Lonchura striata: one gene and its partners. The protein of the gene in region 1 purifies or fractionates together with the protein of each later gene. This does not show direct contact. Links are inferred from orthologs where the notes say so. Each region holds a gene or a part of one and is shown in the gene's direction. Other genes may lie near its edges. The genes, in order: PXN, ITGB1, ARHGEF7 and GIT2.

What was found.
Region 2: the proteins of PXN (region 1) and ITGB1 purify together in Homo sapiens (affinity purification with western blotting; 3 studies listed by BioGRID and IntAct, with this or other methods). This does not show direct contact. The link is inferred for Lonchura striata from reciprocal best matches to the Homo sapiens genes PXN and ITGB1.
Region 3: the proteins of PXN (region 1) and ARHGEF7 purify together in Homo sapiens (affinity purification with mass spectrometry; 3 studies listed by BioGRID and IntAct, with this or other methods). This does not show direct contact. The link is inferred for Lonchura striata from reciprocal best matches to the Homo sapiens genes PXN and ARHGEF7.
Region 4: the proteins of PXN (region 1) and GIT2 purify together in Homo sapiens (co-immunoprecipitation; 3 studies listed by BioGRID and IntAct, with this or other methods). This does not show direct contact. The link is inferred for Lonchura striata from reciprocal best matches to the Homo sapiens genes PXN and GIT2.

Annotation. Positions count from the first base shown.
Region 1 is NC_134620.1:4,910,895-4,918,159, forward strand, and holds the start of PXN (paxillin), read left to right. Parts: upstream 1-4,250; 5' UTR 4,251-4,348; coding exon 4,349-4,361; intron 4,362-7,265. UniProt on the Homo sapiens protein: Cytoskeletal protein involved in actin-membrane attachment at sites of cell adhesion to the extracellular matrix (focal adhesion). Recruits other proteins such as TRIM15 to focal adhesion.
Region 2 is NC_134603.1:142,822,776-142,830,683, reverse strand, and holds the start of ITGB1 (integrin beta-1), read left to right. Parts: upstream 1-4,899; 5' UTR 4,900-5,049; coding exon 5,050-5,058; intron 5,059-7,908.
Region 3 is NC_134604.1:92,628,971-92,636,598, reverse strand, and holds the start of ARHGEF7 (rho guanine nucleotide exchange factor 7), read left to right. Parts: upstream 1-4,625; 5' UTR 4,626-4,759; coding exon 4,760-4,924; intron 4,925-7,628. UniProt on the Homo sapiens protein: Acts as a RAC1 guanine nucleotide exchange factor (GEF) and can induce membrane ruffling. Functions in cell migration, attachment and cell spreading. Promotes targeting of RAC1 to focal adhesions. May function as a positive regulator of apoptosis.
Region 4 is NC_134620.1:11,019,783-11,026,925, forward strand, and holds the start of GIT2 (ARF GTPase-activating protein GIT2), read left to right. Parts: upstream 1-4,136; 5' UTR 4,137-4,195; coding exon 4,196-4,247; intron 4,248-7,143. Other genes in the region: ANKRD13A (ankyrin repeat domain-containing protein 13A), read right to left, coding at 346-391, 837-961, 1,073-1,205, 3,239-3,334. UniProt on the Homo sapiens protein: GTPase-activating protein for ADP ribosylation factor family members, including ARF1.

The DNA of each region.
Region 1 (7,265 bases):
ACTTTTCCCAATACCCCGCCATGACGACTTGAAATATAGTCGGCATTGGCAATTTTTGACAGTCTCTACGGAGACTGAATACTCTGGTGAAAAATAGACTAAGACTAGCTCCGGTGATTGTATTGTGCTGCGTGGTCTTTACCTGGCGGCGGGAGGGGGCTCTCACGGAAGGTAATACGGCTTCTCTTCTTTCAGCGCTGCCAGGGCTTGCTGCCGCTAAGACCGCGGTTTAATAAAATGAGGGCGCTCCTACGTTGAAAGCTCCTTTCTTTTTTTCTCAGTTACTGAAAAAGGAATCGGTCAGTGAAAACGGAAGTGGAGTGGCTTAGGTGTTGTAGAAAGATTTCTGGAGTAGCTCTTGCTGAGGAGAATCCTTAGGAGATTAGCCTCTCAACAGGCAGAGAGGAATCTAGGGGGAGTGAAAGTCTGAATCGTGCTTCCCCAACTGCAGGAGTCCTCTAAAACCCATTAGAGAACACTTAGTGTACTAAGTACTGTAAACTCCATTTTGTGTGCAGTTCTTTATTGACATCACTTGCTTTAAGAAAAAAAAATGCAATAGAAAAATGCTCCTTATTGTCAAAAAAATCACAAACCTTTGCTCTGGAAAAAGCAGCTGCTGGTGTCAACTCCTATTATATAAGTAAACTGCATCCTTTCCTAATTTGCAGCAATTGAATAGCTAGGCAGACCCTACGGAGGGAGACTAATGACCACTGCACACTGGCCCCGCTGAGGCTCCGCTGCAGCTGGGAGCAGCTGCTCTCCGTCACTCTGTGTGAGTGAGATGTACCTCCTGGTGCTGACAGCTTGCCTCTGACATTCTCTGTATGGGCACAGAACCAGATCCACGTGTGCCATCCCGATGCTCCTACCCTGCCGGTTAGACCTTGAGCTGGGCAGCTGCTTGAAACTTCGGTAGAACAGAAAGCTTAGTAGTGAACATCAGTCTCTTAAGAATTACTATTATTTTTTAAAATAACATTCAGTCATGCTGGGGTATTATACACAACAGTGACCAAGAGTGACAGTGAAACCTCACAGATTGCCTTTGTCCCCCCCATTTGTTCCTATTGCCAGAAATATCAATTGAAATCAAACTCTGAAGCACAGGGATGCCATTACCCTTTGGCAGAATAAGCCACACTGGTAAATAGCAAAGGCATATGTAGTTTGCAGTGAGTCATACACTTCAGGTAATTTCTTGATTCTTATGAACTGTATTGATAAGTATTGGATTTATCACTTGATTGTTTCTCATCTTTGCTGCCAGAATTGTCTGTGGTAATGCCTTGGTGTGGTGCTTTCAATCTGCATTGCAAAGTCACGTCCTACATCTTATGCCAGAAACCAAGCTTGTTCATTTTGCTGTAGCAGATCCTTTCAACAAACATGAAGTTGAACCTCGAATGTGGGAGTTGCATGCTGTGATTTACTGCTATTGCCTGAAGCCCAAAGCTCTGATTGAAAATTTTTTCCTTGCATTCACCTGAAGAAAGAGCAAAATCCCCTTGCATGATGTTCATGTGGCACAGCACAGAGGGCACACACTGCAATGAAGGCACTGTCATTGCTCTGCAGTTTCAAGCCACTCTCTGGAAAGTGCACAGGTAAGTTCTAAACATGCCTCACAGGCCAGTGTAGCTTTATTTCTCTTCTCTGACACAGATTGAAAATAACAATGCTTTTCTTCGCTGGTATTATGAAATGAGCTTGGATCACTCCTGTTTGGCAGCCAGTCTGAAATGACAGGGCCCAGGAGGACAGTTAATCCATCAACTCTGAGGGTCTTGTGTGTGGTCAGTGGGTTAAGCTGCCCTTTGAGGGACTTGGTCTGTAACTGGTAAATGACTCTTCAACAAGAGGGAAAGATGCCTTGAGCAAGTACTCTGGACACAGATTGTGTGGAGTTAGGAATACTCTGAACATGGATTGTGTGGAGACAGGAAGCCCTAAAGTTCAACATTTTGTTGATGTTAACTCACTGTCTAACTTCATTTCCAGTTCCCAGCCCTGTTTCCCATCTGCAAATGGGGGTGGTAACTTCTTGTTACACCTTATGTGAAAGACAAGGGTAGATCAAAATGTCTCAGCTACGGGGCACAGCATAAGAAGAAGGCCTGTGTATTTCTAGTAGCAAGCAGGTGTCCGTGAGTCAGGGAGAGTCTGAGCCAAAGAACAGGTAGATGATGGGGAAACAGGAGTTCAAGGCTTTGGGAAGGACAGAGCTTGAGCCCACAACACTGACAAGTCGCCTTGGCAGCTGGGGTTTTAACCTGCCCCTGCTCCCCCAGCTCTCATGGGAGGGTTAGGGACTGGCAATTTTAAGTAAGAAATATCAATGTGTGAATAATTCAGTTATAAACAGCACCTGGCTGTGAGCAGCTTGCTTTTAAAAGCAGGCTGTCTAGAGGATAGTATCACTCATGGGACAGCCCTGCCTTCCCACCCCACCAACACTTTCAGTGCAGTGCAGAAGCCATAGGCAAAGCTTTAGAAACAATTACTTTTTTTTTTTTTTTTTTTTTTTTTTTAACACTGACCATCTTAGACACAACCATTTCTTGTGGGAGCAACCCTAACTGGTTCTGTGACAACTTAATTCCAGCCCTGAGACACAATAGAAACTGCTTTCTTGATTTACATTCACTTTCAGACTCCCAAAGGACACAGTAGGAAGCTGAAAATAAAAATGGCATACCAGGCTACAATATGAACAGAGCACAGTAGGCACTTTATTTATGCAGAGGTAAAAATACAACCCAACTTGTGGCACATGCTTGTCACATGTTGGTGGAGGAAACATACAGACCCCAGGAAAGGACTCGTTTCTAATGACTTTACATCTGCTCTGTGACCAGTCAGCGCTAGTGGTTCATGTTGCTCCACCTGGGGATGCACATCCTGATGTTGTCATTGTATAGCCAGTGATGGATTTTGAGAAAATTTTAACAGTCCCTCCAAATAATGTTTTACATTTTGCTGAGGGAGACCAGCAAGGGGGATGTCAGGTGAAATCTTTGGCATGGATAGTGAAGCATGCAATGAAATCTTTACTTACATTTGTGTTGTACTTAGATCTCAGTAAGGACATTATTTTCTGACAACTGTATTTGGAGTAAAAGCTGGAATTAATTTCTTGGAGGTTTTTGACTATTCATAAGCATTGGCTGGGATGAGGGAGGAGATATTTCCCTGCCCCCCTAACGATAATTCCCATTAAAGCATGACTTAACACAGGAAATAATGATGTCTGACTTGTGCTAGCAGGGGAAACTGGGCATGTTTGTACCTAGAGAGTGAAAAATGCAGCACTGGAGATTGCTCACAGCTGACCTCACGGTCTCTGTTTAATGGAAATACAATTCTGTAATCTCAGCTCAACAACAGGACATGTGCTGTTCAGTTCTGGGAACATTCTCTGACTCGGTAGTAATTTTGTAAGGAAAAGAGCTACAAGAGTCATGTTTCCTGGATCCTCGGCAGTTCCCACACTGATATTTTTTGGTGTATCTCTCATCAGATTAAGAAGTGGACATTTGGGCTGAGCAACTGCATTTACTGCCATGTCAACTTGGCTGGAGCACTGTGGGAAACAGTAGCTCTGGTGAGGGTTGAGCTGTGCTGTGGCTCAGACAAAGCGAGGACTTTGCTGCCTTGGAGTTGTTTTATAGAGGCTTGAAAGGAAAAACACGTGGGAAATGATGGTTCAAGGTCACCACATGAGAAATCCAGGAGGGCTCTTATAGTCTTTGAACACAGCAAAAGAGAAGTAGCTGGTGACTTTCCTTTATGGTGGCCACAGCGTATGGAAAATTGCTCAGGAAAGGTTTCTGCTGCCCAGCTTCCCTGGGATGGGGTAATTCAGCTGAGGCTCTGAAATGTTTGAAGGTTTTGGGGCACAACTCTCCCGCACCACCCAGCCAGCCCAGCGCGGCTGCATCGCTGCCCCGGGACATTCCTCTGGGGAAGGTCCTGCTCCTGCAGGGAGCAGCGCGGGGCTCGTGTGGCGTTCGCGCTCAGTCTCGGACGCGCGTGGGGCCGCCGGCGAGCGGGGCAGGCCTCTCCGGGGCAGGCCTCTCCGGGGCACACGCCGGGCGGCGGCTCCGGGCGCTGCCGCCCCGCCCGGCGCTTCGCGGGGCCCCGACCCCGCGCCCGCTCCGCGCCCGGGCCGGCGGCTCCCGCGGCGGCCGGCAGGGGGCGGCGCGCAGCGCGCGCAGCGGGGGCGCGCGGGCGGGCGCGCGCGGGGGCGGGCCGGGAAAGTTGCGGGCTCTGAGGCGGCGGCGGCACCGCGGGGCGGGAGCGGCTCCGGCGCGGCGGCAGCGGCGGCACCGGGCACGACGGCACCATGGACGACTTGGGTGAGTTCCGAGCCGCGCGGGCTCCCCCGCGGCGGGGGCCGCCTCCCCGCCGCGCCCCGGGCGGCGGCGGCCGCGGCCCGCCGGCCACGCTGCGCCCCTCGGCGCCGCGGGGCTCGGGCCGCGCCTGTCGGCGTCCGGGGACGTGTCGCTCCCCGCGCAGCGCGCCGGCCGGCCCGGCTCCCCGCGCCCGGGCCCCGCGGCTGGGCTGTCCCGGGGCCGCCGCAGCCAGGGCAGGCGGTGGCTGTCCCGGCCGGGAAGGGCGCCCGGCGCTCCTGTGCCCGGAGCAGCGTGGGGCGTACTCGGGTTTCAGCAAACATCTCCTCCCTGCCCCGCCGCAGCCTCTCCAGCCTGTTCTTGGGCGAGATCTGAACTTTGCGCGGGTATGGAGTGGGGAGCCCTGCGGGGATAAGCGGAGCCCAGCCGCGCTTGGAGCTCATCCTCGTCCTCCCTCTGCTTCTCCCAGGTGTGCTGCATTATACGGTTTCCCGAAACCATGTAATGGAGAAATGTCAGGCAACTGGTCTCAAGGGAAGGATCTAGAGAATTTGAGTCCTTTGGGACCAAGCCGGAAAGGGTGTGGATCTGCCAAAATCCCTTGTGCTCTGGGAGGCATTAGGACGACTGAGTTCCGCTTATGAAACCGATTAAATCAGACACTGGGGAGGGGCTGTGATCCGTTACTTCCATCCTACCTTTAATAGAAACCAGACGTTCTGTTGACATATAGTCCCAAGAAAATTGCAGGTTTATTTCTGGACCTGGAAGCTCATACTACGGTGATGGCATAAAGCTGGTGGTCACACCTTCAGAAAATAGACTTTGAATTGGGCTAATGATAAAACTTAGAGGGTAAGGAGTCCATCTGCTGCGTGGCTTTCTGGTGAAAGGTGTGCCCATGGAGGATTCATCCTTGGGGAGTGAGACCTTCTGCTTGAGTGAAGTAGCTCTTGGTGGGAACAGAAGTAATTTCTACTGCAGCTTCTTTTCATGGTTATTGTTCAAGTGGAGACAGCTCTGTTTACCTTTTCTCATATCCCTCATTCTGGTTATCTCTTGGAGATTTGGTGCGAGTTCCTAGCATGTTCAGGAATGCATTGCTAGTCAGAACAGGATTCACCCAGTCTGTGTATTGACTTGATGGGTAGCCCTTCAAGGTGAGCATACAGGTCAGTGTAGAGCCAGTTTAGTGTCTCACCATCAGTAAACCATGGGAGCCTCACTGTGCCCACTGCAAGAGCTGCATTCCTAAACGTGGTAGTGTGACTTTCCAGCTGTTGGAATAGGCTGCTGCAGTCCCTTAACATTTTTTCTTTCATCTGTAGGAGAATTAGAGGTGAACTGCTAAGAAATTGTGAAAAAGATCTGAAATTGTGCCTGGTTTGTTTTTCTGAGCTCTGAAGAGTATTTGGACAACCAAAAGTTAGACCTTCTAATCTGAGCAACTTGATTTCATCAAGTCTTAATTACACTGCGTCTGTCTCAATTTTTGTGCAGCCTTTCAGACTGGACAAGATCTAATTAACAGTAGGCAGCTGAACAAAAAAGTGTGACCTTTTCTCTCTCTAAGCTTTTCTGTGGTGTACAGAATTCACCATGGAAAAGCACACCAGCTGTTTTTCCTCTGCAAATCATTGTTAGCCCCAAAATGGCTCACTTACTGCTCTAAAGTCATTCACCTTGGGATCACACATAATGGAACTGTGCTGTGCTGATACAACTCCCCTGAAATAAGTCAGACTTTCGAACTCAAGTGAGAGTTGTTTGTTTTTCTTTCCTCATTATCTATGGGTGGATTATCTGAGTTGTGGATTAACTGTGCCATGGATACAGACGTCTGCACTGGCCCTGTCCAGAGTCAAGCTGGTTAGGCAGGACTTGTTGGTTCAGGCACACTGCCATGTGGGCAAAGCTGCTCTGCTTCCAGGGACAGTTTTGGCCCAAAAGGAGTTTGATATTGAACTGGGACTTGTAGGTGCAGAGTTGATGTCAAGTTAAATCAGCTCAGATACTTCCATACCTCGCTTCTGAATCTGTGTGGCACAGAAATGAGCAGTGAGTGAAGGGCCTTGCTGGGCATGAGTGAACCCCTAACAGAGACCATTGGTGTGTCTGTTCTTAACTCCTTGCTGTTGTCAAAAATCTCCTTCTTTTTCCTAGAGCTGGAGGATTTGATCAGTCTGTACATGTCCAATGTAAAATGGAGGTCCAGAAGTATCTCAGTTTTGTTCTTGGACTGGAGAGTTTATGAAACATATGAAAATGGATTTGTCTTGCTTTGAGGATTCATTTGGAGTTGAGAAAAATCTTTGTTCCCTTTTTACCCCCTCCCCCAGTGTTGAAGAAGCTCCCACAGGAAACTTTCTGCAGGCTGGAGCTGTGCACCCTGTTGTTCTGGAGGAGCCTCTGTGGCACAGGACACACAGTGCTGGGCTGGATGTAAACTAGAACAGCCCGTGGTGGGAAGGGGGAGGAGAGCAGCTGGCCAGGCTTGTCCAGATCGTCTCCCTGCAGCCTCTCTGAGGAAGCACATTTTGCGGATGTGCTTGGAGTTTGACAGGAAGTTTGCTGAATGAATTTGCTGTCCTGCAGTGCTGTAAATTGGCACAGCTTTGTCCTAAAGAGTGAGAACCCAGATTTGGGGCTCTTGTCCCTTTCAGGGGATTGCCAAAGCACAGCCTGTGCTTCCAGCACACAAGTGATCATCCACACATACTTGCTTCAGACAAGCTGAGGCACTGAGATGTTGGGTTACTGGTTTGGTGGTGCTACCTTGTCTAAGTAGTATGAAGGAACAGATCCATTAGGATTTGCTTGTTGCAGAGGAAGAAACCTAATTTGTGTAAACTGTTATGTATTTATGGTGACAGGAGTAGGAGAAGAGAAACTTTAAATTTGCTTTAGTCA
Region 2 (7,908 bases), on another chromosome or scaffold:
GTATTAGAAAAGAATATTCTGTCTTTTTTGCCATTGTTTTCTACTAGAACAGCCAACCACCTCATACAATAGTCATTCCATTTGTCCAAATCTCTTTTCCCAGTGGTACCATTACTATTTATTTACTTCAGACTATTTTTGTGGTTTTTTCTTGCCTACTAGTCTTGCTTAAAATGTTCTGCTCTCCACATAGCTCCTCTTTCCCCTATATATCAATGAACATTAAATCTGTCCTTATTCCTTCTCTCATGACAGACTCTCAGTACTAGCAGACTGCTACCATCTCCAAATATTTCTGCAGCTGAGACCAAAATCCTCCTTTCTCATTTCTATCCTTCTACTCCTCTGTAAAAGTCTAAATTTCAGTAATTTTTATGCACTAACAACTACTGCATTGAGCTTAAAATGTTGCAGAATGTCCCTCTGGGCAAAATTGAAGCTGAAGAATTCTTCAAGGAAAGCTCTTGCAATCGTCCTTGCTCATTTCTTTGGGGGCAGTGGAATTCATTTTTCCCCTGAATGAGCATGAGCTGCTTGTCTAAACAGTGGGAATCCTCTGAGAAGGAGGGAACAGAATATGCAGGCACGTGATCTCAGAGTCTCACAGAATAAAAGCAGCACATGGCAAGAATTAATAACTGCTGAATCTCAGAAACTTACTGTGCATTCAGAATTACCATCCTTTGGGGATATTTTTAATCTCCCAAAGGCATTTTTCCTTGGGTAATTAAACACTAAAATATCTTCAAGCCTGAAGTTTTAAGATCTAGTTCTCTAGAAAACACTATTCATTTCAAGCAACAAAAGGAGCTGGTGCAGAAGTTCTCTGCCCTGTGTTATCATGAGTATGAGTGCTTGAACATAAATCTCAAAGACTTTAGTCTCTTCACTTAACTCCTGCTCACTTCTTTACTTTGGAACATAGGAGCAACTTGTAGTTCATGCCCAAGGAGGAAAAAGGATTCCTGCCTTGCTTATTGAGGATCAAAATATCTTATAGAATTTCTGCATAAAACAGACCCTCTTCACAATGACATAGGAGTCCCACAAAAGTGCCTTGGAAGATTTAAGTCCATGTGGCAAATGAGAAGGAATGTGTATGCTAATGGCAGCAGGGATTTTAACAGCAACAGCTCAGCCTACCCAAACATACACACAAGAGGGAAGAGCAGCTCTTCAGCTGAAGGAAGTGCAGAAAATGAGTCAGAGGAAGCATCAGAAGGCACAGTGCAGCTGTAACAAAAGCTGTCCCCCAGTCCCTCTGCTCCAGCAGCCTGCTCTGTGCCAGCAAGGGCAGAGTCCCACCAGAAGGGCCATGGTGACCTCCCCTTTCTTCTTTCCTGACAGCCACAAGTTGCTTTTTAAATGCTGGTGAGCTGAAGGAAGGGCTTGGTGGACTCTGACCTTTTCAGGCTCATGTTAAACACAGGACTGTCGATTGAACAAAGCAGAGATCTAAGCACTGATCATAAACCAGGTGTTAATATATCAGCTCTATTGCACCTAAGTGCTGCACATTGCTCCCATGAACAGCAGGCAGACAATCCTTCAAAGCAAACCTTTGCCCACAGGATACAATCTCTGGCAATCTCCTGGCTGAACATTTGTGACTCACTTCACTCCTTGTGTGGAGCAGGAGAACATGGCTCCAGTGTAAACACAGCATTCCATACCATGGGCACACTGTACAGGTCTGACAGGCTGCCTGCAGAGAAGTGCTGCTCATTCCTCATGAGGAGCCAAATAGTGGCTGTTATCTAAAGCAATGACACAACCGTTTAGCACCATCACTTCCTGTACTAAGTGACCCTTCTAATAATACTTTCTCTATGAATCTTGTGTCCAAGCCCTAACACCTCCTCATCCTCCACACTGGAAGCCAGAGCCCAGTGCTGACCAGTTGCCAGTGAGGTCTCAGTGCTCACTGTGCCCCTTGGTGACTGCACAGCTGCTTCTGGAATAAAACAGCGGCTGAAGCTGCTGCTGCTCTGCTCCAAGGTCAGGCCAGGAAAACTGGGTGCTCCCGCAGCCAGCTCAGCCCAGGTGGCTGCAGTCTGATGTGTTCCCAGGAGACCTGCTTTCTTTTGCTGGCTTCATTGCTATCCTTGGGAAAATGACTTTGACTTCCTCTTTTCTCTCCCACCCTTTATCTATCTAGTAGGGTAGAAGCATTTTGAAGAGGCAGGGAAGGAAAAGAAGAGGGGTGGAAAGGGAAAGTACTCTGCTGTCAGTAACAAAGTTTGTTGGGGAAGTGGAGCAGTACAGATAAATTATCGCTCCCTGGGGCAGAGGTGAGCGAGATACCTAGCACACTATAAAGAAGTAAAGATAGAAGTTTTAGTGGCTGGTGAGATTACAAAGTTGCCTAATGGGTGCCCTGATGAGAGGCATTTGCATTTGGGTATTAATGCGCAAACCATGCACATTAAAACACATCCTGTGTTTCTTATCACTGAGGCCCCAGTTGAAAAATATCTCCCTCTAAACCCTTTGCAAGGTGCAGGAGTGAAGAAGATGCTGGAGAACAGGCTGACAGCTCCCTGGCTGTGTGGGCTTTAGTAAGTCAGAGTTCAGCAGCTTGGCAGCAACATGTGGCAAACGGGAAACTGCAGCCAAGGAAATACCCTGATAACTGGTTAGGAGATGCTGCAATTTCTCCTACCAACCAGTTCCTGCTTCTCTGGAGGCAGTGGCTCCTGAGGTACCCAAGTGGCCCCCTCACTCCAGAGGTTCCCAGCCAGGCACTGGGAGGGATTGCAATAGAGCTGCCTGGCACAGGGATATTCAGCTCCAGCCCTGGAGCTGCAGCTGGGCACCCCCAATTTACACAGCTGGCTTCTTTACAAAAGCAGCACTGGACACATCAAAACCTGGTTTGGGATTTGTGTTTGTGTAAAAGTTATAAAATCTGTATCTGCAAGATAAGAATTAACCAAACACTTCCCAGCTTCCCACTCAGTCCATGAAAACCCATCTTTTCTTGAGCCCTCCTGTGCAAAACTGCTCACTCTCCCAGATGTCATGTACACTGCAGTACAGAAACACTACATTAAACATTTTGACATCACCTATAATTGTGTCTACTGGCTCAGATACCTCCAGCTCTTTTTTTTTTTCTTTTTTCTGGCATCTTTAGTACTTCACAAGTGTTGGAAAATAACTCATGATTTTCATACCCATCTGTGCTCTCCAAAGGAGACCAGAAAGCAGCCAAATAATTCAGTGGATTTTTTTTCAGCCATTTTGTGAGACTTTTTCCTGTTGATTTCCTATTGCACAGCACAGCCAGCCACTGGCTACTTGACACAATAAGATCTGAGCAGAGCATTGGGTAGCATTTGAACCAGTCTGTTGAGCAGTTTTATTTAGTCTTCAGAGCCAAATTGATCTCAGTAGCACATCTTTCCACCACTTCTTTGAAGTACAGTATAGTGGACAGCTGCTCACTATTTGCATATTTTGGCAAAATCACAGAATATTCTGAGTTAGAAGAAACCCACAAGGATCATCGAGTCCATCTTTTAAGTGAATGGCCCATACAAGGATCAAAATCCACAACCTTGTCATAATTAGCACCAGATGTGCTTTTTCTCTCTGCAATAAAGAAGCAGAGAAGAATACCTTGCATAAAACTAATTTTTATCGCCCAGTACTCAAGTTTCCCACATTTTTTTGCAGACCACTATCCCTCCGGCATTTGCTTTTACTTTGCATTAATTTTTACAATTTTTAAAACTTTGGCTTTCTGATGGCTTTCATTTTTCCTGGCACTATTAATATTACATATTAATTTACCTGTTGAAACATATAGTTCCTGCTGTCCTTATCTCTGAGTGTCAAAGTTGTTTAACTACCATTTCATTTATCCAGTGCTTGCTTTTGATGGGGCTGCTTGGAGCAGTAGTCTGTCATTTCAGTCTCATTTTCCAACACCACTAGAACTGTTTTGCAATTACAGCTGTACCAGCACTAAAAGCTTCTGCTAAAACAGCTGTTAGGAGACTGCGCCCTAAACCACTGCACTGCCCAAGTGGAACACGGGGTTGAATCACAGGCCACACTTGAGTAAACTAGAAACATCATTCCTTTCTTATTCCAAAATGCAGCTAGAAAGCAAGCAGGGGAAAAGTGATTAAAATTATAAACAAGTCGCAGCACTGCTGGTTAAGTTAACCATACAAAACCAAGAACTGACTCAAGCTCCAGTAGCCACACATAAAGACAGTGCTTAGAGCTCTGAGCTGTGAGTTGATAGCTTGTTTCCCAACACTTTACCTTCAATAAGGTGTCGAAAGGCACGCTTTTTCATTTTCTTTTTTTTAATCGGTAATTTCCCAAGTACTTATTTTAAGGGGCACTTTAAAATACCAAGAGCATGCTCCTAACACCAGCAGGCTCCGGCCGAGGTATTCGGGGAAAGCGACTTTTTAGCTCGGAGCGAGTGTAGCACCGGACAAACGCACTCATCACTCAGTGACTTCCACTGCTCTTGGCAGCAGCTGCCAGCAAGAGGGGCAGGGATCCCCTCGGCTGTGACCGCGCGTGGAACCAGGCAGGGAGCGGAGCAGGGGAAGAGCTCTGGAAAAGGGCTGGGGTCGAACAGCCTTTCCGCACCGCCGGGAGCGAGCGGGCCGCGGGGCAGCCCCGGCCCGTCCCCGCCCACCGGCCCAGCCCGGGGCCGGCCGAGCCGCCGGCAAACCCCGCCAAATAAGGCGCTGGCGGGCGGCACGGATGGAAGCGGGAGGGAAGCGGGCACCGAGCCCCGCCTCAGGCACGGCTCTCCCGTCCCTGCCGCCGCGCCGCAGACGCCTCCCCGGCCCGCTTGACGGCAGCGGGGAGGAATGTGTTTCCGGGGCGGGCAGCGCGGAGCGCGGACCTCCCCTCCCCTCCCCCGCGGGCCGGGCTCCCGCAGCAGCTCCGAGCAGGCGGCGGCGGGCAGCCAGCGAGGAGCGAGCCCGGGCGTCCCGCCGCGCCCAGCCCTGCCCAGCCCAGCCCCGGACGCCGCCGCAGCGAGCCGGGCGGGCCGGAGCGCGCCCGCTGCCCGGAGCCATGGCCGAGGTAACGGGAGGACGGGCGGGGGTCGCAGCCGGCCGGGAGCGAGATGAGCGGTGCCTGCGGCCGCCCCGGGGCTCGGCGCTTCGGGCGGGCTCCGGGCGGCTGCGGGCGCCGCTTCCCGCGCCGGGAGCCGCCGCCGCCCCGTGTGCGGTGCCTCGGCGCCGGCCCGGGCGGAGGAGGGGGCGCCGCCTCCCGCCGTGCCCGCCCGGCGCTGTGGGCGGGAAGGTGCCGGGCCCAGCCTGCGGCTTCCTGTGGCGGCGGGACGGCGGCCGCGGGCCTCCCGTGCCGCCGGGGCCGGCCGGGCCTTTGTCCGCCCGGGGCCGGCCCTGCCCCGGCGGCGGGGCGGCAGCGCTCTACCCCGGGCGGCGCCGGAGCCCCGTGCCTGTGCCGTGCCCCGTGCCGGCCGCCGCCTCCCGCCGGCGGTGCCCGGGACGGGGGCAGCGCTCGGCTGGGAAAGTTTCGGGCGGCTTCCCGGGAGTCGGGCGAGGGCGGGCGTCCGCAGGGGGAAGGTGCCTCCCGCGGGAAGCGGGCGCCGGAGTTACGGGAATGGGAACGAAAGGAGTGAGGCAGTGCGGGAACTCGAGTACCCGGGGGATTGTCCCGCACATACCTGCAGAAAGCGAGCGCTGAGAGCGGCGTGTGCGCGGTTTGAATGACGGGATGGTCGCAGTGCAGCCTTTGGCTGCTCGAGCCGTCCAGCTGGCTCTGAGCCTCTGTAGCCTGCTATAAACTCGTGTCGGGATGGAGTGGGAATGTGAGGCCTCTATGCCATGTCCCACATGGGGATTTCTGAAAAATCTTACAGCAGTAGTGCAATGCTTTGTCTCCTATTATTGCCTTCAGTTACTGGTTGTTGGAAGGAAACGTGGAGCAATGAGAAATTCATTCTGACTCACAGGCCCATGTCAGATGTGTTTATGTTATGGAATAAGTATCTGTCTGCCTGTTAAACTCATTAGGTAGCTTTTTGTGACTGTTTATGAAAAGAAGTTGATGAGCGTTCATGTTTGCGTCTTCATTTGTCCTTGATAGAATACAACAGTCCATTCATGCCAGCACATGTGCACATAGCTGTTGGGTGAAAATGTTGATTTTTCTGGTAGATTTGCCATCACTGCTACAGTTCTATTCTTGCCAAGATACACAAACCTTTAGGAGTAACGATTGTCTCCATTTAGATTAGTAGAACCACTCACAGTCAATGCTCCTTGTGTGCTGAGGTGTTGATATTAAGCAGGACGTTATGTATGTGGAAACAGATTTAAATAACTTGTACTCCTGGCACACAGATCATTTGGTAGGTGATGGTGGCAGTGTGAGAAAAGTTTTGAGAAATGAGGCAGCTTGGTAGCAGTGAGGGGATTTTGTTGTTCTTGGTTGTTTGTATGGGCCTTTTTAAAGTAGTATTATACTACTAAAAAGATGTAAATTAGACTAAATTAAACAAGACTAAGAGTAGCAAAGACATTCATTGTCCACATCCGTCCCAGCGATGAAACCAATGATTCATTCTCTGTCACAAAAAAATATTACTTGCCTCTGGGTAATGATTAAGTAGCATTTTGCAAGCTCACCTAAGGCTCTATTTATAAGGATTGCAAAAACAGTGAGCCATTGGCAATAGATTGGCAAGACAAGACAAGTTTAAGATGTGAACACCTTCAACTTTTGTCCTTTTCAGAGATGTTTCAGCTGAAAGGTTAAAAGCTGACAGGCATGCATAATCTTACCTTAACCAAAGTTGGAGCTGCGAAGTGCTGTATCTGTTTGCCAGCCACATGATAAATGAACCATATTTATTTAAAAATGAAATGTCAGCAGTTACAACTCCGCTGTTCTCTGTGGGTGCAGCCAGGGAGCTCATTCTGTTCTCTCTGTTCAGTTGTCTGATCTGTACCATGTCCCCAGTAATGCCCACCCTTGTAAAGGACTGATTTGGAGGGATGCTTGTTGCTCTAAGAATGTGCATGAATTTTTGATGGGAGTGCAGAATTTTAGTGTTTTGTCTTGAGTATTTTAAATGACTCAAGCGGTTAGCCTTACACCGCTTCCTTTGGGAAGTGATTCCCAAAGCTGAAAAAAAACTGTCTGAGAACTTTTCCTGCTGTTCTTTCTTCCTGATTCATGATTTCATTCCTCTCTCTAAACCATCCTCTCTCTACCTCTCATTGGGTAGTTCTGCTGTAGTTCAGATATGAAAAAAGCTTGTTTGCTGTAGCAGCAGCTCAGGAAGTAGATAACTGGGGTAGCAGAAAGGCGAACTTGGGGAGAGCCGTGCACACATGGGGTGGGCACATGCTGTGGTCTCCCTTGCCCTGAATATAATTCCCTTGCTGCTGCTGGTATGAGTGCCCGTCAGTTGTTTGTAAATAGTTGTCATGCCTGCCTTTCCACCCAGTCTCGATTTAGCTGAGTGATGTGATGCACACTTAGCCAGCTTCTCATCAGTCTGCTGCAGGCTTCGTGCTTGGCTGTGGCTCTTGGTACTGAGACAGGGTACTGCAGCTGTGATTGCTCAGCAGGCTGTTAAGTACTTTGTCTTGATGGGACCCTTTTGGTAAGTAAAGGCTCTAGTTCTGCATGAGGCTCCCTTTCCTTCTAGTGGACAGCCTTGCAGAGTCCCTGTTGCTCCTCTCTTGCACATGGTCCGAGGCCTGAGTGTCTTTAGTGTGGACCTGCTCATGATGCAGGTGCAGCCTTTGCTTGTGTCCCTGTCACTGCTGCACAGGAGGTGGATGTGTGACTGTGCTACTTTCTCTGGTAGTTCTCCTCACGTGGTGTGGAGAGTGGATATGTGGAGGAAGGCTGGATGGAGCTTGCTGGCCACTGGTATACCTGATCTTTCTCTTCCTC
Region 3 (7,628 bases), on another chromosome or scaffold:
TATATTCATCTCTGCCAAAAGCAGAGACACTTACTGGTTTCTGAAAGTATAAAGAATGTAGCAGATCAATGCCATTATCCTGAGCTACACTTAGAAGACAAAGGCAGCTCTTGAATTGATGCTCTCGGGAGTGCAGAAGCAGAGCTACATTTTGGGCTACTGCAGACTTGCCAGAGGACTCTCTGTATATTTCTACCTAAAGATCATAGCCAGGGTAAAAGCTACAAAAGCATGAGTGACTGTGATAAAGCTTGTAACACAGGATTGCCTCATCAAAGAAATGCTAACAAAAAAATTTGACTGCTAGGATTAAGATAGCCAAAGACTTGGCAGCAGACTGGACTCTGAGCTCAATCAGAGCATAGTGTCAATAGGCTGCATTGGTTTAAAGTAAAGACATGGTGACAGCATTTCTGCTTTTGGGTAGGCCCTAAGGGCAGTTGCACAGGAGGCAGTAGAGCAAGTGCACTAGATCCTTGAGAGATTTGAGATCTGTGATCAGGGGAAATAAATGAGGGACTTGATCTCTGGGGCATCTCTCGCCCAGCTAAAAGCTCTCATGGTGCTAAGCATCCCTGTTTTCCCTCAAATTCTGTAACAGGTGCCTGCAGCCTCCATGTAAGAAAGTTGTTTAAAAGCACCTTTTTTCTTTGGCTTTGTTTATTTGTTTGTTTGTTTGTTTTTGTTGTTTTTGGGGATGGCATGGACGCTGGTGAATCCATCGCACTGCATTCTGTGATCCCTGTTTGAGAGGCCCAAGCCTGCCTGGGCACTCATGGTGCTGCCCTGGAGCCAAGTACTGCAGTCCCGAGCATCATGCTGCTGTCACCCTTGGTCAAACACCTGCTCTCAGAGTCCTGGATTTGTGTTTCTGCATCAGCACTTTAGCTGCTCTCTGTATGGTACTCATTTATTTATGCTTGATTGACAGACCTCTCAGGACAGAAAAGCTTTTAATCTGTCTATTAAAATACTTCACAACTTGGAAGATAATGAAATAATTTGCCCTCTGTTGTGTTTTGGTATTTTTTTTATTTATTTATTGAGACTTTTACCAGCACCACACAGCTCATTGATCTGCCTTCCCAAATTCACCAACACAATCTTTGGTGTATGGGTTTTAACTGACACCTTCAGCTGACAGGTAGTCAATCAACAGCAGAGAGAGCTGGTGGTATTGAACTTGTGATAGCTGGTTTCAGGAACTGCAAAAGACTAGCTCCTCTACGAGCCTCAAGATTATTTTCAAATGTAGGTTTAAATAGCATGGAAATATATCTCTGAGTTTAACACAGAAGTGTGCTTTGTTGGGGTAAGGCTTTCACTGCAGAGAGATGTAAACCTCCCTAGGCTAAAACTACAGAGATAATTACGTATAGCATGGGAACCCCAGCACAGCAATTGATCCAGTATGACCCCTATATAGCTAATTACAGATTGTCAAGGCAATTTCTGTTCAAGCCGGACCGATAATTAATTAGTTACCTCCACATTGAAATCCTGACCTTGGCTTGGCACAGGGAAAACAGAGACTTGTGTCGAAGCATCTCACTGCTGCCCAGGGACAGGGAGACAAGGTATTAACAGCTGAAAATGGAAAATGGCAAATGGAAGGCTAAAATGAAAGAGTAGCTTTCTTTACCTGTTTTTTCCTTCCTCTCCTGTTCTTCATCCTCCCAAACCAATTGCTCAGGCTAAAAGAATAAATAAAAGCCACATAAGTATAATTGTCTTTTGGAGACTTTCAGTTAAGTCATACTGCAGAACAGAGAAAGTATCTCTGCTGATAACTTTTTGGTCAAATTGCAAACTGGCAATTTATTCCTGCTGTTTTGTCTTTCAACCAGTCACTAATCCGTGACAGAAATTTACTTTCTACCACATGCTTACCTGGTTTCCTTAGTAACTTCTCATGAGAATATGGCAAAAGCTGGGAAAAGACCAAATAAATTGTCAACCACTTAATCTTTATGTATACAAAATTATGTGCTGTTACATCTACTAGATCTCTGCTAAAGCTGCCTGATGCATTTCAGAGAACAATGATTTTTTTCTTGTTCAAAAGAGGTCCAGACAGTATTAAACTGAGACACCTCCCCCTTCCCCTCCTCCCCCACCAAATTCCCCAAATATCAGAATCTTTTTGCTTGTGTAAACAGATTTAAGGTCTGGAAGTTACCTGAACCTACAAGCTTCATATATATATATATCCCTTGTTTATAAAAGTCAGTACCAAAATTACTTTTTCAGCTTTGCATAAATTTAAAATATTTTGCAGGAAAAAAAGTAGTTTAAATCATCCCTCATCCCCTAAAAGAAAGTTGTTAAAATCTATCCCATCTTTCAGAAAGAATTTATACTATTTAAATACTATCAAAATGGATGTTTGAATAAAGATGTCATGAGTTTATGATTTAGAAGCAACAGTGGGATCAGAATCAGGTCATAAGAGAATCAGAACATCTTTAATTGTGAAACAAAGAGGAAGAAGGAGTGCAGACTTACAATAAGTGTATGTATCATTGTTTGTGTTACTTCAAAACTCCCACCATGGCATGGGCTCCACTCGCTAGACAGCACATGCAAAATATCTGTGTGTCCTACAAGGTTTTAGTACAAATGGACAGTACTGGGACATGCAGGAGGAAAGAATAAAACAAGGGAGCTGTGCAGAGAGTTCAGGTGCTTTGCAGTAAATACCTGGTAGGGGAAAGTCTGACAAGAAAGGAATATAGGCAGGGAGTGGCATGCTCCTAAATCTTTTGGGCACTTTAATTTTTTTCCTTTAAAGATCTTGAAATGGTTTCCTGACCTGTGTCAAGCTTCTTTTAGAAGTCTCCAAGCAATCTATCCACATGGCTTTCCAATGGCAAAGAACTGCCATGTTTGTGTTCTTCATAGCTGACAAATCATTGGATCAGAAGCTGTTGTTCAAAATAGATATGGAAGACAGTACAGTTAAGTGCAGAAGAATGATGAGGAGATAGGTGATGAATGTCAGTGATAACCCAGATATTGCTTATCATGAAACCCTTTATGCTTTGCTAAGATCACTATTCTGTGTTGTAATATATGGTTATTTCCATTGTCTTTGGATGGGTTTTCCCACAACATGTCTTGTATCATGTTCTCTGCTATAATCAGCCATGCACTTTTCACCTCGTTCATGTACCCATCACATCTCTCATATAAAAAGTTTCATAAACTCATGCCCATAGTTTTCTATCATGGGCCAGTGCCAGGGAGGTCCCCACTTGCTGCTCATCTTGCTCGGGAAGCTACTGGGGTACCCCTGCTGGGGATGCTGATGTAATGAGCACCTGACCATTGCTGTGTGCATTGTACTTGTTTATCCCATCCTGCTTGAATCCGGGTGGGCATTAATACTGACAGAGGCAAGTCTGCTGCTCTCACCTCGACCAAAAAGCAAGGGGCAAAACAAAAAACAAATTTTGGAAGAGGTATCTACCTGAAATGTGAAATTTAAGAATTTAAGAAAATCTGCACCTATTATGGGTTAGGAGGAGATTGAGTGTTGAAATTAGATTATCTTGTACCAAATTGAAATGCACCTCTGTCTTTCTGGGCTGGCTGGTGATTTGGTAGGAGATTCTGGGTCAAAAGAACCTACCAGAGCTGCTGCTCAGGGACTGTGATGGTGGTGGATGCAGTACGCCAGGCTGGAAGCAGAACAGCAGCGATGAGTTTGGGTTGGCATTGTTGCCTCTGCCTTTGCCTTTTGGAGTAGGCATTTTGCCCCTCAAGGGCGTCAGATGGGGCGAGAAGGGAAAGCAGGGGCTGTGGTGGTATCGCCTCTCCTGGCGTGTGCGAGGCTGATGGCAACAGAGGGACCCTGGGAGCCCACAGCAGCCAGCTCCTAACAAAAAAGAAAATACTGATTGCTCATAGTGTCCCGTCCAAGCAAATCCTTGAGGAACGGCTTTTGTCAGAATAAAAGGCACAGGAGGGCTCTGTTTCAGGTTAGTCTTCACAGTCCTTCTGTGTAGAGTATTTACGCTGGCTTCCCAGGCGGTGCCGCAGACCATCGGGGGGGAAGCTGGCGGGAGGCGCTCGGGGATGGAGCATCCCAGCAGGCGCACGGCGGGGATGGCGCGCACCGGGGCGAGCCCGCGACCCGGCCGCTGGCCCGAGGCTGCAAACGGGTTTCCTTGCAAGGGAACGACGGGCAAAGGCAGAGATCGCGTTACTGCGGCCGGTCGGGCCGGCGCCCGCTGCCGGCGCTCCCAGAGGGAGATGGTCCGAAACCAGTCTCCCGGAGCCTGGCGCCGAAGGCTTGAGGGGGTTCGTTCTCTGCGCGACGGCGCCGTCCGAGGAGGAGATGAGGGGCCGGGGGATCCCGCAACTTTTCCCCGCGGCCGGCGGTGCCCGGCGGCTCCCGCTCCCGCCTCGCTGCGCGCCCGCGGAGGCGCCGCCCGCCCGCTAGGGGGCGCGCGCCGGCCGCCGCTCGGCGCGCGCAGCGGGCGCGGAGCGGTGCGCGGGGCTCCGCGGGCGCGCGGCCCCGCCGCCGCCGCTGCCAGTGATGTCATGGGGCGGCGGCGGCGGCGGCGGCGGCGGCGGGGGGGCGGGGAGGAGGCGGCACTGCAGCTGCATGTGTCTGTAGCGGCGGGGCCGGGGCGTCGTCATCTGCATTCACATGGGGGCGGCGCCGCCGGCCTCCGCCTGAAGCCCCCGCCGGGGGACACACAAAACCCACGCGAGGCGCGGGGCGCCGCGACCCCCGCCCGCCGCCGCCATCGCCATGAATTCGGCGGAGCAGACCGTTACGTGGCTGATCGCCCTGGGCGTGCTGGAGTCGCCCAAAAAGACCATCTCCGACCCCGAGGGCTTCCTTCAGTCCTCCCTGAAGGATGGCGTGGTGCTGTGCCGCCTGCTCGACCGCCTGCTCCCGGGCACCATAGACAAAGTAAGTGCCCGGCGGCCCCCGCCCCGCCGCCCTTTGTGCGGCCGGGCCCGCCGCCCCCGGCCCCGCCCGCGCCGCCCCCCGCTCCGGAGGGGGACCCCGGGCCCGGGGAGGGCGGTGGGGGGCGCGGGGGGCGGAGCGGGGCCGGTCCCCGGCGGGGGAGAGCGGGGAGCGGCAGCCGGGCTGGAGGGGAACCCCCGTGAGGAGCCACTGTTCTGCAAGTGTTGTACGGACGCTCCGCTTCCCAAAGCGGAGTCCCGGCTGTGCATGGGAGATGCATTAATTTTGGAGGGTGGACTATGGACCCTGCCCTGCGTGCCACGAGCCGGCTGCAAACTTATCTACGCAACTGCTGGAGCAGCCGGTGCCTCACCTCGCTTGGGAGGTGATTCAGCTCATCCCTTCCAGCCTCTGAAGGACATTTTAGCGTTTGATGCTTAGTTTTCTTGAAGGCTGCTTAAGCGTTATTTGGGTCCTTTACTGTTCGGTAGCCTGTGGAAAAAAAATCTCCTTTTTTTTTTTTTTTTTTTTTTTTTTTTTTTTGTGCTGAAAAAACGCGTTACAGCTCTAGTTTGTGTTTTGTTTGAAGAAAATGTACTCTGTCAGGTAACTTCTATGTGTTCTGTGTGCGTACATAATTCCCGTCGTCGCTCAGCCAGAGGGAAAAGACAACCAAAGGGGTTTGGTTGTGCCTCAAAACTTGGGACAGTACTGTTGTCTCACCTGATGTTTAGTAACATAGTGCACACAGAGATCCACATATTGACAAAAATCTTTCCTCGTGTGCCAGTCTAAGGTAGTGAAGATTGATGAAGGTCATCTGCTATGATGATGGGATGACTCCTTGCTTGAAAATAACACCGTATTTTTCACCTTTTGCAGAACAGTTGGCAGAGCATTCCACTCGCTGGAGCCTGCTGACAGTGAGCTTTTGTTACCTTTTGTGGCTCTATTTCGAGTAGTTCTCAGACCCACAAAGTTGTAACCAGCGCCTTGAGCTTAGCAGGACACTGGGCTGGGCTGTCCCACTTCGGTTCTTCAGTTTGCCACCCACTGGAGTTGTTATTGTTTTGTGTTGTACATGAAGGTCTTGGCTCTGGACTGGAGTCCCATTCTGCGGATTTAGTAGATCATTCCTGCCTCCCAGATTCACAGGTACATCAGGAGGTGGTACGGGGATGTGGACTCCTCACAGGAGCCCGCAGTGCTCTTGGCGGGTGATGGAAGTGATGAGAGCGGGCACAGTGTGTTGGTGGCTGTGTGAGCGTGGCTAACTCAAGGATCACCATGGTGGCCAGTGGGGACTAGCTGGGACAGCTGAAGCCCCTGCCACTGCTGCTGTCAGCTTTCCCCGCCACCATTTCCCCGTAAGTGGCTGTTCAGGCAGTAGAGCTGAAGAGGATGCCCCTGCTCCTAAAGGGGCTGCAGCTTTGTGGAGGTGGTACATGAGGTGCAAACTGTTGTCCAGTGCACTGGGCTGCAAAGTAGGGCTCCAGAGCAGGTAAATGTCCTGCTCTGCCATTCAGTAAATGTCCTGTTCTGCAATCCAGGGTGGCACGCGTGACATGGGGCTTGGGGTAAGTGGGGGCTCCTCCACCTGACTATCCACTGATTCTGACAGGCTCCGCCCATGCCTCCTTGTCCCCAGACTCTTTTGCCTGGTGGCACCAAGCCCAAGGAGGGTTTTGGGAGCCTTTCCCACACTGCTGCTCCAGGCACGCTTCCTGAGCACATCTTGGACTTTGGGTTCTTAGCTTTAGGGCAGAAAAGGTCTTTCCCCTTTGTGCAGATGTCAAGCCTGGTAAAGTGGGGTCCTGCACTCAATCTGGGAAAGAGGCTCTACCAATAAACAAAAAAGCAGAACAGAAATAAGTGTTACAAGAGTGTTTCCCAACTTAATGTGTTTCTCTGTTACAGTATAGTTTGGGACAGCTCGGTTATTGAATGAGAGACTCTCTTTTTATCTGAGGACCAAACACCTCTCATGTTTGGGTGGGGGTCCCTTCACAGCACAGAGGAAGGTTTACAGAGGCGCGCAGCTCCGCACAGCCAACAACGAGAGCAGCCTGGGTGCGAGGAGCTGCCGGCGGGACTCGCGGTGGCCCTGGCGCTGCAGCAGCGCGGGGCTCGCAGCGGGAGCAGTGCGGGCTGGGCTGGCAGCCAGGCGGGAGGAAGGCTGGCGCCTCGCAGCCTCCCACCTCCCCGAGCTCGCCCCGCGCCGAGCAGGGCGCTGGGACAGGCGGCCGCCCCGGCGTCCCTGCTGCCCCTGTGTGTTTCCTCTGGCTCTGACTTAGTTATAAGTCTGGGGAGAAATAGACATTTTAAAAAATTATTTTAGGAGGATCTTTGGTTTTGTAAGGGTAACTGTTCTTATTTCCCTGGACCATTCACAAAGCACTTTCTAATTCATAGATATGTCTGAGAGACTCACAAACTCATTTTTCCACCTAACTTTGTAAATATTCTTTTTCTGTAGACTCAGAATTTACACCCCATACCTCTTTCACGTTCTCATCTATGTTATGTCTGAGCTGTTTCCGTGTTACTTTATTCTCTTTCTTTGTTTGTTAGTAAACAGACATAAATTTTACATCCTTTATTGTGCCATGGTAGTTTTTCCAAGTCTTTTTGGCTACTACTCTTTGTTACTTTTTTAATACTAAGTGCATTTGAAATATGAGCCTTTTTATTCCTTATTTGCCCCGAA
Region 4 (7,143 bases), about 6.1 Mb from region 1:
TGAGACCTAATGTTCATTCCTTTCAGGGAAAAGCAGGTACTTCCTCAAACAACCAGTGAATCCATAGATGACACACGATCAGTTGTGGATGGCCAGGGACAGGTAAAAAAAAACCCAAGAAAAGTCTCCAGGCAACAGCAACAACAGCTAAATTCTCCACTACCAAAACCCAACCAACCAGACACACAGGAAACAAAGAATAATTGTGCAACAAAAGCACAAGAGGTCATTTTGAGATGGAGAAGAGGAAGATTGCAGGGAGCGGATATCTCCCTGCCTGCACTGTGGGACATTTCTAACTCATTTTTACAGCTTGAAATTGGTAACAAGGAGCAGGATCCTTACCCCAGCTAGTGAACTCCCATTTCATTTCCACATAAAAGTCAGGAGTCTGCAGAAGGAAAACACCTGATGAGTACTTCATGAAATAGTTTGACAGTCAGTGCAGCATTTCCTGTGAACATTTTAGATAAAGGAAAAAAAAAAAAAGAGAGCAAAACTGGAGAAATGATTAGCCAATGCTAAAACTGAAATTGAAAGTTGCAAACACAACAGGCACTGCCCTGCCCCTGCTGCTTTCTGGGGAGCTGTTCTTCCTTGTTTTACTGGAGAGGCAGCAGTGCCTTCAAAATTCAGCCTCCAATGCTGGAGTACATGACAAAGGATTTAAATAAAGTCAAGGAAAAGCCTCCATGTCCTTCAGGACTACGGAATATGCAGGTTGGAACAAAACACAATTACCCAGCTGATTGCAATAGTTAACTGAACTACTTGAATGAGTATTCAAGCAGAGATTTCAGTCTAGAATGAGAGTTTACACTTCAATAAATCCTTACCTCGTTAATCTTCTGCAGTAACTCGGGAACTCCTCCGAGGGTCATGGAGGTCTGCTGGTAGTCCCGATGCTGCAGGATCAGCTGGACCATCTCTGGATCCCCTGTGCTGACAGCCTCATGCAAAACTGAAAGAAAGCCAGCCACAGCCTCGTGTCACTTTGCTTGCTGACCAAAATTCCATATAAAAACACAGAACAGCTGCTACTGAAAGACTGACACCCCAGGTTGTTCCTTACCCGTCCATCCCTGCGCGTTCTCCTTGGTCACATCTGCCTTGTGCTGCAGGAGGACCTTGGCAGATTCGATGTAACCCAAGGAAACAGCCAAGTGCAGCAAGGTCCTGCCCCGTGGATCCCGCTGGTCAACATCCTGTCAGTGTCCAAGAGAGAGTAACAGAGCTCATCAGAGCCTGCACAAACACAGGGCTCATCCAGGAGTCAGCATTCCCTGCCATTCCCATGGATCCACTCCCAAACTCTCCTGCACCGCCCTTCTGCGGGGCTGCCTTGCTTCCCCACGTGAATAAAAGGAGAAGCAGAACGGGGCCTATGAAATGACACAAAATCTGTAGGACAGGAGTTCTTGTTGATGCTTTTCATTGCTTTTTCTGTCATTATTTCCCCTCTGGCTCCCCCCAGAAGGCTCAGGAGGAGTTCTGTCCGTGTGCATCACCCCACGGACAGCCAAGAGCCTGAGACCCCACAGAGAGTTTAAACTGTACAACAAAATGGGGGGGAAAGGGGAAAAAAAAGGCAACAGGACATACAACACGGCTTTTGGACAGCACTTTTGGAAAGGACAGAAGCAGATGGTGTTTCACAAAGCACACACACAGCACAATGAGGAGTGAGGGCATTCTCTGCAAGTCACTAAAGTAAAAAATAAACTACACAGGCACAAATATCCAAAACATGCAAGCACAACATACTCATACCTTACACATTTTTCACTATTAGCTTAGAGATTTGAAACAGAAGAGCATCTATAACTAAAGGAAAAGGGGAAAGTCAATAGCAGAATGAGAAAGGAAGGTTATTATGCACGTTAACAGCGTTATCTGACAGCTTCAAGTCAGAATATCTCACAGAGAGTGGGAAAGCTTCACTTTAAAGCATCTTCACTTCTGGGGTGGAACATTAATTAATTTGTTTCTCCACCTCCTGCAGCTCTAAAGAGCTCCAAGGGTCCCTCCCCACTGTTTGTTGCTGTTCCCTGGTCCCCACATGCCCCACCCCATTTGCCACTCCAGCCACAGCTGGGAAGTGCCTTTGATTCCTTCACAGGTCCCTCCAGCAGCAGGAAGCTCATCCCAAAGCAGCAGGGGGAACCAGATCTTTGGAATACTTAAAAAAAAAAAAAAAAAAAAGAAAAAAAAGGTGTTTAAAAGCAGGTAAAGGAAGAGACACAGTCCATCTTCACACGCTGCTGGCTTCCACAGGGAATGGAGGGAGGAAGCAGCATTCCACAGGTGGGAGCTGCTGAGTGATCCCTATTTAACCATAAACTCTCACAGATGTCAGAAGTAAACACACAGGAGCAACGTGCCAGTGAGGTTAAAGATTTTGTTAAGGCATAAGGTGATATAAATGAGGTAAAAAGTGACTGCATTCCAAAGATTCTCCCAAACCAGGGCAGGAACATGCTCTAAGCAGGAATTAGTAAGTCAGGTGCACCGTTAGAGCTGCAGGTGACAGGAGGTGGCACAGCCGGTCTTGGGCTCACGTACTTGTGGTGTCAGGTATAATTAATTAATCAGCTCTGCTCATTAACTGTACCTCGCTCTAGCCCGTCAGAGCTTTTGCACAGCAGCTCAGCCAGGAGGATTTTTGCTGCTCAAGCTCTGCTGCAGCTTTCAGGCTGTTTCCTTACGTCATCATGTCCCAGAGAGGGGACAGCTTTGTGTTTGCTGCTCTCCAGCACTAAACAATGATCCATTTCTATTTTTTTTTTTTTTTACCAGAGATGCTGAAAACATTCCAACCCATATAAAAACTCTGTCCTCATTCTTGGGCAGCGACAAACCTGTAAGAACTGATGGTGCTCAGCAAAGTGAGGGCTTGGTTTGATGTCCAGTAGCACCAGCTACCTTTGCTGCACGTTGACTTCCCATTAAGACAAACACTATTTATTGCTTTAATAAATAAATTAATATCCATCACAGCTGCCCTCCTTGAGCTCTCCCCTAAAGAGCAACGCTCAGAGCAAAGCTTTACAGATGGGAAGCCAACGTTTAGTATCTGACATAAAAATATATTCCCACACCTTCTCGCATCACTCCCACACCACAAATAAACAGGTAACCGAGTGCAGGGATCCCTCAAGCAGCGCCACCAGGGTGATCCTCCCTGGCACAGCAGCGAGCCAGGGCCAGCAGCCCCCCAGCAGCCCCCGAGCCCCGGTACCTGGTCCCGCAGCTCCTCGTCCAGCCGCCGGTAGTCGTTATTCCACACCAGGACGTGCAGGGGGAAGGCGCTGCCGGCCCCGCCGGGGGAGCTCATCCCAGCACACACCTGCGAGCCGGGGGGGACCCTCACTCTCTCCTCTCTGGATGCTCCCACGTCACTCAAGCCCTGAGCCCTTCAGCTTCTGGTCTCTGCGGGCACCCACCTGGCCCAGGTGTGCGTGTGCGGGCCACGACCCCCCAGGAACCGTTCAGCCCTCTCCGAAGGGAGCCCCATGCAAAACCCCAGCGCGGGGGTCTCCCCTGCTGCTGCTGGTGCCCCTGGCAGCCCCCGGGTCTCCTCCCGGAGTCCGCTCGGCGCCGCTCCCGGGCTCGCCCCGCTCCCCCTCAGCCGTCCCGGCCCCTCTTCCCCGTCCCTCCGGGGACGGCTGGCACCGACCACAGCGCGCCCGGAGCAGGGGGGTTTCCTCGCGGTGCCCCGCACTCCTACCGCCACCGACAACCGCACGGAAAGCGGAAGCCGCTCCCCCTCCCCCTCTGAGGGCGGACGGATGGAACGTCCCGCCCGCAGCTGTCCCATTGCCTTCCCCGCATGGGGTGCGCTCACCGCTCTCACCCCGCCTTCGCCCGGCCTTGGTTTGGCTCGCCCGCCCGCCATGGCGGGTAAGGGCAGGGCTTGCTGCACAGCGGCCTCTCCCAGCAGGCTTCCGAAGCCACATCTCTCCCATAACCCCGCCGAGAGGGCGCAGCGGGCAGGCGGGCCCGGGCGGGAGCGCTCGGTGCCGCGCCGCTGAGCCGGAGCTCAGTTTGAAGGCAGGCCCCCGTGCCAGGAGTAAAGATGGCGGCACGGGCGACACGCGGAGCGGCAGAGGGGGTCTCGTCGCGCATGCGCGGGGCCGGCCCGGGGCTGGCGGGGCCCGTTACCGGCCCCGCTGCCGCCGCTGCCGCCGGTCCCGCGATGGCGAAGCGCCTGAGGAGCAGCGAGGTCTGCGCCGACTGCAGCGCTCAGGGTAGGCACCGCACCGCCAGCGGCACCGCGCGGGCTCGTCCCGCGGACCCCTCTGGAACCGGGGGCCGCGGGGGCGCCGCCGGCCCGGGGGCGTCCCCGCCCCGGAGCGCTGCACCTGTGATGGAGCGGGATGGTTTGGGTGGGAAGGCAGCTCAAAGCCCGTGGGCAGCGCGGCTTCCAGGAGCCCGGGCTGCTCCGACAGCGTCCAGCCTGGCCTGGGACACTTGCAGGGCTGGGATGGAACTCCGTGTCCGGGTGTCCGGCACCGCCGCCCCTCCCGAGCCCGGGGCACGCGGAGCTCCGGGAGCATCCCGGAGGGCTCCGGCGGCGGGAAGTGCGGAGCTCCCCAGCCTAGGAAGGAGGGAAGCTGACAGGAATCCACCTTCAGTCACGGGCAGGGCGTGGGTTGGGAATGTGTCACTGGAAAGGAGCAGGGCTGTTTTTGGGGGGCTGCGTTTTCACCCCTGTCCCTGTTCCCAGGGGCATTGGGGAGGTAAACTGGGATTTGTCCCACGGCCCACACTTCCAAGGAAAGTTGTGCTGAGGTGTCTGGAGATGCTCAGGGAGCAGGGTCTGCCTTGGGCTGGCGCGTATGCCGCTGCAGATCAGTTTGGGAGCATATGGAAGTGGAGGTGGTGTTCAGAAAAGCTGTTGCATCTCCTGACCGTCTGTAGTTCTGCAGCTCTTGTATCTAAAACTGTCCTGCTTTATTTTGTCAGCTCTGTCTGTGTCTTTTCTGGCTCTTTAGTTTTTGCTGTTTGTGTTCTGGGCAGGTTATGCACATAGTGAAATGAATTAAAACACTGATGTAATAATACCTTATTATTGTATGTGTAATATCAATGTCTGTGTAATGTAGATAACACTTGAATTGGCAGAAGATAGGATGTGGGAAAAGGGAGAACAACTTTTATTCAATCTGAGTTATGTTTTAAAAAATGATAAAAATTCCAAATGAACTTCCAGGAAGTGACATTCTTCTTTTTACAGAAGGAAGTCTTCCCTGTGAGGGTAGTGAGGCCCTGGCACAGGTTGCCCAGAGAAGTTGCTCCATCCCTGGAAGTGGCCAAGGCCAGGTTGGATGGGGTTGGGATAATGGAAGGTGTCCCTGCCCATGGTAGGGATTGGCACTGGGTGAGCTTTAAGCTCCCTCCAACCCAAACCAGTCTGGGATTCTGCTTGTACCCCTGTAGAAATTTGGTTTTACAATAAATGCAGCTGGCATCTCTCAGGCAGGTGATTGTCCCTATCTCACAAGGTAGCCTATCTATGCTTGCTCACATCAGGGGTGTTGTGAGTTGGAGATAAAGCTGTGTGAACTGTGTTCCTTAAGCTCCTTGGGGCATCAGAATCACTGTCTGGTAATCCTGTAATCCAGCCTTTATCGTGACATTAGAGCACTTCCAGCTCTTTACTTACTTACTAGAAACCCGCTGGCTTGTCCACATATATGAAGAAATCTTTACTTATTTATTAGAATCCAGTGGCTTATCTACATACATAAAGGAATCTTCATTTAATCTTTTGGTAAATAAAACAAATCAACCCTTTCCTTTAGCAAAACCAGAGGGTTTGTCCATGGCTGCGTGGGGCTGTGTCAGGAGACCTGGTGGCTGCAGCCTTTGCACCAGGGCGGGTGTGCCTGGCACCTGCATTAATTACTGCTTCCCCTGGAACCTCATCAATGCCCCTTTGTCTCTGCCAGGGCAGAGCGTGGAGGGTTTTCTTTGACTCTTACAGGAGCTCTTGTGCTGCACTTCCTATCCCGAGGCAGGAGCTCAGTTCTCAGACCCTGGGCCGGGTTTGTCTTCATCTCAAACTTCCTGTTTTGAACCACCCTGCAGGTTCCTGAAAGCGCCTGCCCGGCCCTGCAGCTTCTCCCCAATTGTCCTTTGTATCAAAACCAGCGTGGGCAGCAGGGCCAGGCTGTGACCACCCCTGAGCTGGACACTGAGGACCCTCAATTGCTTTGTCCAGCTCCGGGCCCCTCGCTCCAGGACAGATATGGAGGAGCTGGAGCATGTCCAGGAAAGGGAATGGAGATGGAGAAGGGGCAGCTAAAGGGGCTCAGCCTGGAGCAAAGGAGGCTCAGGAGGGACCTTGTGGCTCTGCACAACTCCTGACAGGATGGGACAGCCTGGGTGAGGGGCAGGCTCTGCTCCCAGGGAACAGGGACAGGAGAGAAGAAAGTGCATCAAACTGTGCCAGGGGAGGGTCAGGTTGGGCACCAGGAGGAATTTCCTCATGGAAGGGGTGGTCAGGGACTGGAAGGAGCTGCCCAGGGAGGTTTGGAGTCCCCATCCCTGGAGGTGTCCAAGGAAGAGCTGGACATGGCACTCAGTGCTCTGGGCTGGTGACAAGGGGATGATCAGTCACAGGTTGGACTCAGGGGTCTCTTTCAACCTCAGTGATTGTGGGATCCTGTGTATTTTGGTACTTGCTTGAACATATTCTGATCGAGTCCATAATTAGGTCTCTCTTAAAAATTACTCAAATTCCAGGACAGATACTTCATTGCATTAAATTTAAACCTGAAATATCCAAGGGTGTTTGGTGTTGAGGTGGAGATAAAGAAAACCCCCAGTGCTGACTGTTGATAATGCAGAGCAATGCTCACAAACAGCCTGGGAATGGGCAAGGGAAAGGATCCCTAAGAATCCCATCCATGTGTGATGAGGTTGTCTCTAACAAGAAGGAATCAGGCTCATTAATCTGGAAGGCTGCCTCAGTTTGGGTGATTAGGTTGCCATGAATGCATCTCACTCTATTGCTGTTCTTTTTCTTCATGGAAATCAAAATTGTTAAATAATGGAATGATTTAACAAGGAGTTCTAAGTGCTTGTTGTAATTTGTTCTTTAACAAATGGATTATTTTTTTGTCTCACCTGCTTTAATTT